Mytilus edulis: one gene and its partner. The protein of the gene in region 1 purifies or fractionates together with the protein of each later gene. This does not show direct contact. Links are inferred from orthologs where the notes say so. Each region holds a gene or a part of one and is shown on either strand. Other genes may lie near its edges.

The links. Proteins that work in one complex are often made in the same cells at the same time.
Region 2: the proteins of unconventional myosin-VI-like (region 1) and leucine-rich repeat and calponin homology domain-containing protein 2-like purify together in Homo sapiens (co-immunoprecipitation; 3 studies listed by BioGRID and IntAct, with this or other methods). This does not show direct contact. The link is inferred for Mytilus edulis from reciprocal best matches to the Homo sapiens genes MYO6 and LRCH3.

The regions. Positions count from the first base shown.
Region 1 is NC_092353.1:45,604,277-45,611,358, forward strand, and holds the start of unconventional myosin-VI-like, read right to left. Parts: upstream 3,011-7,082; 5' UTR 2,882-3,010; exon of another isoform or gene 2,645-2,881; intron 1-2,644. UniProt on the Homo sapiens protein: Myosins are actin-based motor molecules with ATPase activity. Unconventional myosins serve in intracellular movements. Myosin 6 is a reverse-direction motor protein that moves towards the minus-end of actin filaments.
Region 2 is NC_092346.1:79,333,685-79,341,098, reverse strand, and holds the start of leucine-rich repeat and calponin homology domain-containing protein 2-like, read right to left. Parts: upstream 3,013-7,414; 5' UTR 2,949-3,012; coding exon 2,780-2,948; intron 1-2,779. UniProt on the Homo sapiens protein: As part of the DISP complex, may regulate the association of septins with actin and thereby regulate the actin cytoskeleton.

The DNA.
Region 1 (7,082 bases):
AGGGTATGATAAACATGATGAAATAAATCTGGGAAAAAATATGTATACAAAAAAAAAGAAAAAAAAAGTTCACTTGACATTAAAAAATCACAGTCTGAGAGAGGTTTAAATTAACCAATGCAACTGCATGCACCTTGAGCATTTTGTCAATAAGTAAAATGATGGAATCTTTGGTTATTTGAGCAAATCTTTTCCAAGCAGACACCATAATTACCTTAAAATTAGTAGAAGATATTTCAGAATCTGTCATTGAATTGTGGTAGACAACTAATTACTGCTCTGTGTATTATACATTACAAATGGTATAGACACCATTGACCAATATCAATAAACAAATACATGAAATACTATAACTTTTTCAATTGTGTTATAGTTACATGTACATGTAATTGTTTTATTCCCACCAGGTGAGGACAGGTGTATACCATGTTGTTAATTGACTTGTTATTGACAGGTAAGTGCTAGGTAAGGAAATTACAGTTAATTATGTCATCTTTTGTTATTCGAGATATTTATTTTTTAACCTTTATCTTATATAGTACACAATTTGATTACCTGAGGTTATTTTAGTTGAAAGAAAGGATTAATATTAAATTCTTTGTTCAATTGACACACCATATATATATATATTCTTTATCGTAATATTCTTTATAAAGCACAAAGGTGTCAGTATTCACCTCAGAAACTTACAAAACCTTTGAATAGACTTATTAAGAAGGGATATAATTACGATACTGTTGTCAAGTCATTAAAGATTGCATATTTTGGCGTTAATATTGAGTCACTGATAAGGTCTTTGCATCGGAACTAAACACATTTATTCTAAAAACAGTTGTTGGCATGACACAGGTTATGTTCTTCTCATATATGTTATGATGGTATGATACTAAACCCCTAACGGGAAGGATTGTGCCTGATGTTCATATGATGAAATCATAATCTTTCAGTCAGTTTAGTTGAAGTCTGGAGCTGGCATGTCAGTTAACTGCTAGTAGTCTGTTGTTATTTATGTATTATTGTCATTTTGTTTATTTTCTTTGGTTACATCTTCTGACATCAGACTCGGATTTCTCTTGAACTGAATTTTAATGTGCGTATTGTTATGCGTTTACTTTACTACATTGGTTAGAGGTATAGGGGGAGGGTTGAGATCTCACAAACATGTTTAACCCCGCCGCATTTTTGCGCCTGTCCCAAGTCAGGAGCCTCTGGCCTTTGTTAGTCTTGTATTATTTTAATTTTAGTTTCTTGTGTACAATTTGGAAATTAGTATGGCGTTCATTATCACTGGACTAGTATATATTTGTTTAGGGGCCAGCTGAAGGACGCCTCGGGGTGCGGGAATTTCTCGCTATATTGAAGACCTGTTGGTGACCCTCTGCTGTTGTTTTTTATTTGGGCGGGTTGTTGTCTCTTTGACACATTCCCCATTTCCATTCTCAATTTTATTTAACCTTCAGCAAATTTGCAAATTAAACAGAAGTGATAAAGTTTTGTAAACATTGAAGAAAATTAAGCCCAGCAACAAAACATTTAAATAAAACTGGTTTAGACTTTGCAATTCTAAAATACATACATGTACTGCTGATTGATACTTAGTTTGTGTGCCAATATGAACATGATGAAAATAAGGAGATAGTGTATGTCATTGCCAATGAGACAACAAAAATTTAAAAATAAAGTGGAATTATGGGAAACCATATATATATATAGTCATGATAGTCTTCAACAATGAGAAAAAACATACTGTATAGTTGGCTTTAAAAGATCTTACCTAACTTGAATAATATGAAACCATATTTAATTGAGAAAAATAACCACCTTATTTATCATGTTCTAAATAAACAATTGTTTGTCTACATGGTCTACATGTATTTGAAAAGTGTAGCATTGACCAGTGGTGGATATTGTCATTTATACAACTAAATAAAAACAAAAAACTTAACCTTCATTGCCAAAGGAGGATCCAGGGGTTGATTGAATAGGGAATCACTGAAGCATAAATGGAGAGGGCCCACCGTCAGTCATTGCCCCCACCCCACCGGCACCCCATACAAAAAGTTCTTGATCCGCCACTGAATGCATTGGCTGCTTCTGTCAATGCATTCAATTTGGATTTGAAACTTCAGATCATTATAATGATTATTGGAGTTTTCAATCACTGGCAAAAAGTAAACAAGGAAATTTAATGATAAAATAGACTTGTCATTTGCTTGTGAACTTCCCCCTTCAATATTTGTTTGTCTGTATCACATCCTGTTAAGCAAGCTATAGACATGTGGGTTAAACAGTAACAATGATATTAATTACCAGATAATCTCCTATATGTATTATAATATATGTGATAATCTATATTGAATTGAAAGGGTGTGTCACCTAAATTTGAAAGTTTGCTTTTGTAGCTCTGACATCATTTTAAACGTCAAAAACCCTTGAATTATATCAGATTACAACATACTGCAAACAAGTCATTGATAAAAAATTTAGAAAACCCTTTTTACCTGGAATTATCAAGTATGACTTTTTACATGTTTTACCTGTATATTCAGGTGTGGATATTAGGGTTAATTTCAGAGTTTGTAAAAATGTTGTCACGAATTGACGATTTGTCATCCTTTTGTACTAAATTATTATAAATTCTTACCAAAAATTGTATCCAGTAATTGTGTGTTGAAGGTGTTTCTCTGTTTTATTTCCCAAGTTTATTACCGGTGAGTTGACCTGCTAAAAATAGGAGTAGACGCGCAGTGATATTGAAAACACCTGTTCAAATAGTTCCTTTATTTTCTTTTGTTTTGACCTCTAATAATTACTGGAAGTCCAAGATTTTACCAGCAGAAAGAAAGAGTAAATACATTGGTTTAAGAATCAGTCAACTTACCCAGAGAGTACCAATTTCGTACTTTTTTTGCCAGGTATGCTGAATTGCCGGATGTCAAATAATACACAAAATAAAATGAACCGTTCAAATTCCGGACTAACATTGAAAACTTCAAGAGTTTTAAAATTGTTATTGACAAATTATCAATTTCCATACGATAAATCATCGAAGGACACGCACCTCCATGACCAAAAGAAAAACAAACAAACAAACTAAGGGTCTGGATGGGAGCCTTTAGTTTCCTTAATTGTAATTTTTAAGATTTTTTTTCTTAATCTTTAGAAATAACTCTTATTTTGTTATCTTTTTATGAACATGATTATATTATGTTTTTGTTTCTGCAATTATTCTACTATTTGTTTTTATTCTGTGTGTATGTTCCACTGTGTGCGAAAAATTCTGATCTTCTAACCATTGCAATCGACGAGCAAAAATGTCTGCACCGATATTGTATTTTGAAAGCTTTTCACATTATTTCTAAGCTTTATTAGCTTTGAGAACCTAAAATTGATTAAACTGTAGCTGTTATGATGTCAGCTGCCGTGCCGTGTGTTTTTCTTTTGAGATACGATATTTTCGAACAACAAAATGTCTCACCAATCCGACTACACTTTTTCGTCACATGTCAGAATTCAGGTTAATGATTGGTTAGAAGATCAGATATTTTCGAACATACATATTTAATTCTAAATAATCAATAAAAAGATTTCCACAAAAAATTGAGATACGAGGTTTTTGCATAACAGCGACGATATGTCTTATTTTTGTTTTAATGGATTGCTGTCTCGTCAACGTACACCAACATCTCTCTTTTTTTTTTTATCCATTCATCATTCGAACAAAAAAAAAAAAAAAACCATGATAAAAAATAAAAAAACATGATAAAAATATATATCAGGAGCACATAACTTCAAATTGCGTACCGCGCGGGTCTTCAGGACTGCAAAATTATGGTATACCCACTGTAAAAGTGGACATTATTCTCAGGTAAACAATTTATACATGCTATACTAGTCAAGAAATGACACCACCATATAGCTAAAGATATCAACTAGATCCTATCAATTTCCCTTTGTTTTTTCCTTTGCCGGTGTTCGGACATCCTTTTACTAACCGACTGACCTTTTTTTGAGAAATTTATGTTTTTTTATGACCTGCTGGTTTGTACTAAACATTTGATTTTTATATGTTTAAAATTAAAAAAAAGAGAAAAACAAATATTAATATTCGTACTTCTATAGGCTATAGATATAGTTGACTGAGATAGTTGACATATGTGTTATACTCTGACTGTCGGATTGAATGAGAAAAGTGTCCATAACTCTCCATTTTTCATTAAATGTACTTCGTGGCAAACATTGCAAGAATTTGAAATTCAGTTTTACTAAGGAACCTTTCGTTCATCTTTTCTTGGGGGAGGGAGGGATGTTCAATATGAATAACACACTTTCTATCGTAAATCGTTTACTTAGGAACTGGTCATTTGTAACATTAAGAAAGGGGAAGAAGTTAAGGGGACCTTGATAAGTTTTAAAAATTTAAAGATGTTTAGTCTAATTTTCCAATACTTGAAAATGGGTGTGGGGGGATCAAAATTTGCTCACAGGATTCGAACAATTCTATATAAATATATTTCAAGCCTACAAAAATCATATAGTTAAAATTGACAATAGACACGCGGAATCGTGTCAAAGAGACTACAATACGACCATAGCTAATTTGATGAATACACTAAATCAGTATTTGATTGACTATTTTCAGCAGGAATATCTAATACGCGATTCAGATGTTTTTTCTATATCTCTTGTGTTATCATTTTTTACTTCAAATTTCATTTCAATATTTGTTATATGCAAGTCATGCCATCTTCTGTTTGTTTGTTAGACATGAAGAACGACTATATCAGGGATGGATGGTTTGATGTCTCAGATTTTGCAGATTTTCGAAGCATTGTATGGTTTGTTGTAACGAACACAAGTATTGAGAGATGATGGGATGATTTTTTTTTGTCTTTGGAAAGGATGGGGGGTGTCTTTATTTTATTTTATTATTTCAAGATCAGGACTTGAAAAAAATCAGACTTTCAGTTTAGAATTTCCATTGGAGTTCGGTATTTTTGTTATTTTACTTTTTTCCAAATGTTACGTCCCCCCCCCTCCCCCACCCGAAAGCATAGTCATTTACCCAGTCGACGCACCAAGTCACGCTCCATTTGAATTCGAGCAAGTCCTCAAGTTCAGTTTGTGTGGTTTTTTTTTTTTTTATCTATTTGTCATCCTATTAATCAATTTATGAGAATTTAATGTCGTCAAACCTCTGCTACCTTAATTCATACCTTCAAAATAAATAAGTTTAACATATATTTTTTTTTATGGGATGACAGAAGGGGGATCACAAGTTTTAAAATTTTTGTAACAATTTTAAATTATATATAAATAATATCAGGAGCACACACAACTCAAATTGTGTACCGCGCAGGTCTTCGGGTTTCCAAAATTATTCTATGCTCACTGGTAAAAGTGCTTATTATTCTGAAGTACTAGTAAACAATTTGTAATAGAAAAAAAGATATGGGGCAAAATGATTAGGATAGACTTTGTAAGATGTATCACAGCCAAATCGAGCATTATAAAAAAACATACAGGAAAGTATAACATATTTAAAACAAAATAGTTTCTACGCATAAGGTGTAATATAAAGCTATGTAGAATATATTTTAGTTGTTAAGGTATCAAATGAAAGGTGAATGATTGGTGATCCTTGTACTGACTAATAATTTTGAATAATACAAAACTGTATGAACGAATTCTAAAACTTCGGGCATATATATTGCCTGTTTAATTTCTCGGTACATGTTATACTAGCCAAGAAATAAAACATCACAACACAGATATATATCAACAAATGCTAAACCAATCACAAAAAAGCTTGATCCTATCAATTTTCCTTTGTTTTTTCCTTTGTCTGTATTCGGACATCCTTTTTACTAACAACTGACTTATTTTGAGAAATACATGTTTTTATGACCTGCTGGTTTGTACTAAACATCTGTGTTTTGTTGTTGTATTTTTTAATTAATAATAAAACAGATAAATGTTAACATATATATGTTAATATCCATATGGGCGTTGTTGAATTATATGTTACATTCTGACTGCCTGATTGAAGCAGTGGCGGATCCAGAACTTTGCCTAAGAGGGGGCCCGCTCCAGTCATGCTTCAGTGATTCCCTATATACTCAACCAAATTTTTCCCACGAAAGGGGGGGCCCGGGCCCCCCAGGGCCCCCTTGGATCCGCCTATGTGAAGGCAAAAAGTGTCCATAACTGTCCCTTTTTTTTTAAATTCAAAATGAACATCGTGGCAAACACTCCAAGAATTTGAAATGCAGTTTTACTAAAGCACCGACCGTTCGTATTTTGTCAGGAAGGGAGGGGGGTTCAATCTGATTAAAATAACATATTTATCGTAACTCGTTTACATTTTCAAGGGACTGGTCATTTGTAACCTGAAAGTGGGAAGGATAAATTAAGGGGGCCTGGAAAATTTGGGAATATAAAGTGGGGGTCTAATTTGTTAATAATACTTTAAATGAAAAAAGGAAAAAAGGCAGCGAAATTAATTCACAATATTTGAGCAATAAATTCTGTAATTCACACATGCAAAAATTATAGCTTATTTGATGAATATACTAAATCAGGATATCTAATTTCATTTGATCAATATTTGCTTCATGCAAGTCAAAGCCTTCTTTTATTTGTTTGTTAGATATGAAGAACGCAATATCAGGGATTGATGGTTTAATAATGTCTTAGTTTTTGTAGGTTTTCTGGAAGCTTTTATAGCCCGGCCGATCGGTGAAAAAATTGCTCAAATAATGAGGAAAGCACCAATTTTTGCATGATGGTACATTTTTTTTTGTACTGAGCAATATTAGCTATGGACCCACCCTCAAAATTCAATATGGCGGATTATTTCAAGATGGCTGCCGTACGTTCTAAAATATTTTCCAGTATTGCACAGTGGATTAGATGCTGGAAGCACTAAAATCAACATATTTGAATGACTTGGTGTACTTAGCAAGATTTTGTTTTGATCTATCTTTGAAATACAAAATGGTGGCTATTTTCAAAATGGCCGCCTTGAAAACTAAGCAAATATTCATTATTGAGAATTGACCTGAATATAAGAATTTTATTGA
Region 2 (7,414 bases), on another chromosome or scaffold:
TACGTAATGAACATTTAAATGACACATAGTTTACAAGTGAGAACAAATCTTATGTACAGGTAGCTAAACAAGGTGTATAGATGTGAACAAATGTAATGTGAAACCAGTGCACACTACACTAAACTAATTGTAAACATGTTTACTCTACACGGTGTTTGGTGTGAACACGGCCTAAAATAATTTGGCTCGTTTAACTTTATTTCAATTCTAACATAGTGTTTACTTTGACCCTTTGACAAAGGTATAAAAATTTGAACCAACCATTTAATCAGAAAAAATACACTTGTTGTATTGCAGTTTGTCAAAAACTTATTCTGATCATTGAGAAGCTTAATATTACATTAACCACACAATGTAATCAAAAAGTTTTGCTGATTTTACAGAGTTATCTCCCTGTAGTGTTAGGTACCATCTTAACTATTGAGTTGACCTCTAAAGTCATCTGATGACCATATAAGCGATGTAAACATATATATATATTATAGATATAAATAAATTAGCAAACTCATGTTGCTGGATTTTTCTAGGTCTATTTAATTTCACATGATAAAATAAATGTTTATCATTGTTTTTACCTGTGTAACAATGACTTTTTTGTGAATCTAATCAGTCAATCAAATGATTTACCTTTGTTTCACTTTCAATGTTGACATTCTTTTCCTTTAAATAACTTTACACATACAATTCACATGTTATCCATCTCAAGCTAAGGGGTTTAGTTGAAGCTCACATTAAAACCGATTTAATGAGGTTGAATTATTCACTTGCAAGTGGATAATTCATAATCAGTGCTCTAGCTAGAAATCAAAAGGGGCAGGGTGCCAGTGGAGGGCAGGGCACTTTTTATGATAAGAAAAGGCACTGCTCATTTTTTTTGTCTACGTTTCTGTGTGTATCACGAGTTAACGAATCTCTTTTTTTTTTTTTACTGTATATGTTGTTTTTTTTAAATAAAGATGCTTTTCAACTATAGTCTTTATTTCATTGTTTGTGTAGTTATGAATGATATAGTACATCTTCATCAACATATCATGTTTTTACAGTTTAACTTCACTCTACCCATTATCAAAGAATATGTGTTTTTTTTTTTGTTTTTTTTTTATCTATATAGAAATTATAGCTTTTAATACATCATATGAACTGATATATATATGGTGGTGTTTAACGACCTTGACTGGCTATACAGCCCTGGCACGGTCGGTAAGAAATGAACTTGAAAGCCTTACTAATTTAACAATGTTTAGAACATGGATTGCTAAAAGTATAATTATCAAGTAGAAATTGCAATATATATTTTTTAATATGTTCAAAGACAGTTAATATCTTTAAGGTAACATTATTATGTTATTATATATTCAATTGGTAATTTATTCCTTTTTTTGATACTAGATAATATTTTTAGAGCACAAATTTGTAATAAGCTAAAACAGGGGAAGTAACTCCAAAATCAATTTCCACCACCTTTGGGTTAATTAAAAACTGTGCTTGTCGCTAACAAGTTGAGATGGAAGGCATTTCTGTAAAGGCATAGTTTTATTTTGATGACTTAAATTCAATTCTAAAGTCATGAAAGTCTTCATTTATATACGCTCTTCCATTGTGACTTGGAGATTGAAAACGCCGACCCAAGCTAAACACACTCGCTGACACATTCATCACTTATTAATTAATGTTTTTGTCGCTTATTTTGACAAAATTGAACCATACATGTACATACTGGGTGCTAAAAGTGAAATCTTATTTCACTATTTGCATTTCACTAATGATTGTGCAAAAATAATAATGTATAAGATTTTTTATATATCTCCTAGCTAGTGCCCCTTTAAGTGGGGCAAGTTGGCAGGAGAAAAATTTACGGGATGTACATGCAACCCTTTTCACAAGTGTTCCGATTTTTTTTAAAGTGGGACGAGTTGGTGAAAAAGCAGCAATTTTTCCTGCTTCCACATCATCTTTCCATCAGAAAGTAAAGTTAAAGGATAATTCTAACTTCTTAAGAAATTCCTGTACAGGAACAAGTCGACAAGAAGAGGGGCACAGTTAGTTCCCATCTGAATGCAGATATAAAAAAAGAAGATGTGGTATGATTGCCAATGAGAAAACTCCCCATGAGAGACCAAAATGACACAGAAATTAATAACTATAGGTCATTGTACAGCATTCAACATTGTGCAAAGCCCATACCGCATAGTCAGCTATAAAAGGCCCTGATAGTTTGTTGAAAAACAAGTTCTCCAAATGTCACAAATATGTTGTCAATCAAGAAATAAAGCATCTTGATAATGTCAGTTGTTGATTGCTTAAGCCTATATCTATGATTATATTTGATACGCTTTACTTGAGAAACCACTCTCTCAAGACTCAACCTTAGCTGTGCTCCAAAGCCTTATTGATGGCCACTATATATTGAGCCTTTTATGGGAAACCTGTTTCAGTGTGGCTAGTTTTTCTTTTAACTGATAAAACAGGCTACAGCAAAAATTCACATGTATGAATATAAGTTAAATAATAATAAAATAATTTTGCAGTAAGACAATTTGAAATACTCCAAAAATTATATTATGATATCAACTATCAGTATCATGGAACGTCCAGACTGTCAAGGAAATTTGGATTTAGTGTGTATAACCATAACATATAAATTCATGGACATGAGAGGGGACGAAGATGATATTTGCTTAGCAATATACAAAATACGCTGGTTGACAACTTTTTACTACAATAAACCAACATAATTTTGTAAACACTGGTTGACTGGGGAAGTCGAAGGGGCACTCACCAGCAGAGATTGTATCAACTAAATCATATCTAGACGAGATCTTTGGATATTCTCTTAATTTTCTGCCACATAAACACACTGCCCCGGTTGACTGAGCTTCGTCGAAAATCTTTTCTAGGGGTTTATGTGATGTTGGGCTCTGTGTTCCGGTGCTGAATGTTGTCGCCATTTTGTACTTTCATGTTGGATTCAGATTATGCGCAAGCGCACGACTTTAACATAAATTTTACACTGGTTCCCTGTATAGAAAAAAGTAAAAGCTTTCACAAAAAGCACAACTTACTAAAAGTTATACTTTTATTATAATTTAATTATACAGTATCTACTTTTTACTTGGAATATTTTTTTCTATTTGTATCATAACCAGCTTGCAATTTAAATTGTTTAGTTTCATTATCAGCTTTTCTATCAGTAAATTTCTTATAATTTTATTGTCCCAGTGTGTTGCATTTATAAAAAAGGGGACATAATAATACCAGACATCCTTCTGTTTAGTCTTGTTAGAAATCTCATGTTTAGGATTCAGTGAGAGACAGCAGTTCCTTGTAAACTTTCACAGAAACCTTACTTTTTAGATAATTCATCGCTTTATGTGTTATATGTACATCATGTTTTGAAACATTTTTTTATATGTTTTCATCTGAGACTACTATAACACTATGTGGTATATGTGTTATAGTAGTCTCAGGTTTTCATATTCAGTCAAATCGGTTTCATTGTTTGATATCATGCCGAATTCAAATAAAGTTTTCAAGATCAATAAAATTTCAATATGAAGGCCGCATTTCTTTTTGTAAATGTTGTGTCGCGTTTGTTGTTGTTTTCTAAACGCTACAAAAGTAGAAACAAATACATCGTTTAATAAGTCTTTACTGACCCTGTTTGAACTTCAATAAGGCATGCACATGTTGTTGGTAAACAGACTTTCTACAAACGCATAGAAACAAATACTTCGTTTAATCAGATTGAAGTAAGAAACAAATGTAGTGTGTGTCCTAACAAACAACTAACTGCAGACGCATTTTTATCGTTTGCCTAGTTTGTCAAAGTTTATGCAAACTTTACAAACATATGTTTGAAAGAAATGATCAAAACACATGCACGCTTAGCCGTTTGCATGGTTTGTGTTAGAAAAAATGCAATCCAAGTTATCATTAAAAATCTATAAAAAATGCATATTTTGCATTACAGAACATACCATCAAAGGATCGATTAAGCTAATTTAAGTTTTTTTTACATTGTTATTCTTATTGTATCAGCTGATTCAAAAAGTAATTGCAGAAACCCCAAGCTTCTCGAAATCAGAGCTTTCTAAGCTGAAGCAAATTATCCAAGCTGATATATCTGAACATTTCAAAAAATTCAAAGACCACTTTTTTTCAATCAAAATCATCATTTGGAATTTGGACAATTACCACACTATTCAGAAGACACTCAATTAAATATAGATTAGACCGTTGGTTTTCCTGTTTGAATAGGTTTACACAAGTCATTTTGGGGCCTTTTATAGCTTGCTGTTCGGTGTGAGCCAAGGCTTCGTGTTGAAGGACGTACTTTGGCTTATATAGCTTAATTCTGTTCAGTGTGAGCCAAGGCTTGGTGTTGAAGACGTACTTTGGCTTATATATATTAGTGTCACTGATGAGTCGTATGTAGAGGAGACGCGTCTGGGGATAAAATTATAATCCTGGTACCTTTGATGACTATTTACACCACTGGGTCGATGCCACTGCTGGTGGACGTTTCGTCCCACAGGGTATCACAAGCCCAGTAGTCAGCACTTCGGTGTTGACAAGATATATATGGCCATGAATACCATGATGATGGCACCCAGGTAAGTACCAGACTCCAAATAATCAAACTGTCAAATAGCAATTACTCTGTGGAACAACATTACCAATAGATAAGAACATGTTGTTCAATGGTGGTCATTTGTTGGTGAGGTTCATACACGCTTCTCGTTTTTTTTAAATATAGATTAGACTGTTGGTTTTCCTGTTTGAATAGGTTTACACAAGTCATTTTGGGGCTCTTTATAGCTTGCTGTTCGGTGTGAGCCAAGGCTTCGTGTTGAAGGACGTACTTTGGCTTATATAGCTTAATTCTGTTCAGTGTGAGCCAAGGCTTGGTGTTGAAGACGTCATTTGGCTTATATATATTAGTGTCACTGATGAGTCGTATGTAGAGGAGACGCGTCTGGGGATAAAATTATAATCCTGGTACCTTTGATGACTATTTACACCACTGGGTCGATGCCACTGCTGGTGGACGTTTCGTCCCACAGGGTATCACAAGCCCAGTAGTCAGCACTTCGGTGTTGACAAGATATATATGGCCATATTTATAAATTTCCTGTTACAAAACTTTGAATTTTTCGAGAAAAAAAAAGGATTTTCTAATTCCATGAATAGATTACCTTAGCCGTATTTGGCACAACTTTTTTGAATTTTGGGTCCTCAATGCTCTTCAACTTTGTACCCGTTTGGCTTTTTAACTATTTTGAGTGTCACTGATGAGTCTCATGTATGCGTCTTGCATATTAAATTATAATCCTGGTACCTTTGATAATTTATATAGCTTAATGCTGTTCGGTGTGAGCCAGGTTTAGGTTTGGTACCATTCAAACATTTAAACCTGCGGCAATTGATTGCACCTGTCGTAAGTCAGGTTTCTTATGTTCTGTAGTTGTGGTTTGTTGATGTGATTCATAATTGTTTTTCGTTTCTTGTTTTTTATATAGATTGCTGGTTTTCCCGTCTGAATGGTTTTACACTAATTATTTTTTGGGGCCCTTTATAACTTGCTGTTTGGTGTGAGCCAAAGCTTCGTGTTGAGACAGTACTTTGACATATAATGGTTTACTTTTATAAATTGTGACTTGGATGGAGAGTTGTCTCATTGGCACTCATACCTCATCTTCTTATATCTATGAATATGACAAATTTATTTCTAATAATTACAGGACAATCTATTATCTAGTAATAATATGACTGAAAACAACACAAAATTTAAGTTATCACATTTATTTTATGAGTTTTTGTGGAGAAAATGTTTCCCCATTTTAAAATTTCAACATCATAATGATTGCCGACACCATACTAATTGAAGTATGGATCAAATACGCCATAACAGTTCACTTAAAATAATACAATCCCAAAAAAATTATCAAAACATTTTCTTGGCCCAACTATTACTTCAACATACTTTTATTTCAAACCAGAACAAAAAAGTAGCAACATTTCGCTGATATTTCGTAAAATAATGATTTTTTTTTAAAAGCATATGAAGCATGACCTTAGTTCAATAATGTTTGTAAATGTTTATCAATATAAACAATGTATAAGTTTTTTTCTGTGATAATTTTGCTACTATAGGCAATCTGCTTTTAAAAAAAAAATCTTCTTTGAATCTACATAGATACAGTTTAAACTCCAATAATTGACAGCATCACTTTTGTTTCTATTCATTCAGTTTTATGGTCACTAATGTAAAAAATATGCCATGTGTAAATTTCTATGACAAACCATATTCTTTTTCATGCTGCTCTTTATAGATGCAGTAAAAAGAAACCAAGAAATTTGTCAAACATATATCTCTTGGATCTAGGGGACAAAATAACTCTGTATAATATTAAGCTGTAAAATGACTAGTTTCCAATTCATGAAATTTGTACATTTATAACATGATTTAAATTTTGTACATTATTATTTTTTTTCATCACATTTCTTAGATGATATATATTTTGTTAACCTTTCACTCGATGTTAATTTTGTATGTTGATGTGTAAGCTTTATTTTATAAAAGGTATATATTAACAGCATTTCCATTATATTATTTAACTCTGAAATATTCTAAGAACTGTTTATTTATACATAGTTGACAAAAAAAACTGTTCTTTAATCTTCATGCATGTATAATGACTATGTTTAAGTCTTTATTTCATACCAAAAGTGTGTTTTAAGGGCCTTTATTTTTTCTATTGAAAGTGTATTCAGTCTTGAACTAAAACATGTTGAGAAAATTGCAAAATAGTCATGTTTTATTCCACAGATTAAGAAAATAAAAATAACTGGCAAAATATTGTATTGTTTTAAAAAATTGATCAGCTATTTCCTGTGATCAGGAATTACAATGCAAATTTAAAATGTTAGAAAAATGCCTTGTTTTTTAAATCTTTCCTCCATAATGACGCCTTTCAACGCCTGTGTAGTGCCTCAGTTCAAATATATTGCCTACGACAAAACTTTATCAGACTTGAAAAAAATTGTATCTAATATAAAAAGGATATTCATGAGAATATCTGACTTGAATTTCATTGATGAAACATTTGTTTTTTCGCAATGCATTTATACTTTTAACCTGATGATTTGTTTTATTGAGAGGAAAGGGTTTTAATGGCAGTAAATTATGAAAGTTTAAACCATTATTTTTCAACTGACTTGAAGATAACTGAATATTTGATGATTTATATGTCATTTTATAGAAGACAAATCTAATGAAAATAAACCATTCTAGACATTTGAATGATAACTTTCAAAGATGGGATGCAGTCCTGTCAAAGTCTATGTTACGTTAATATCTAATACCCCTAAAATTAACAGAAGAATTTAAATATAAACAGTGTAACACATTGCA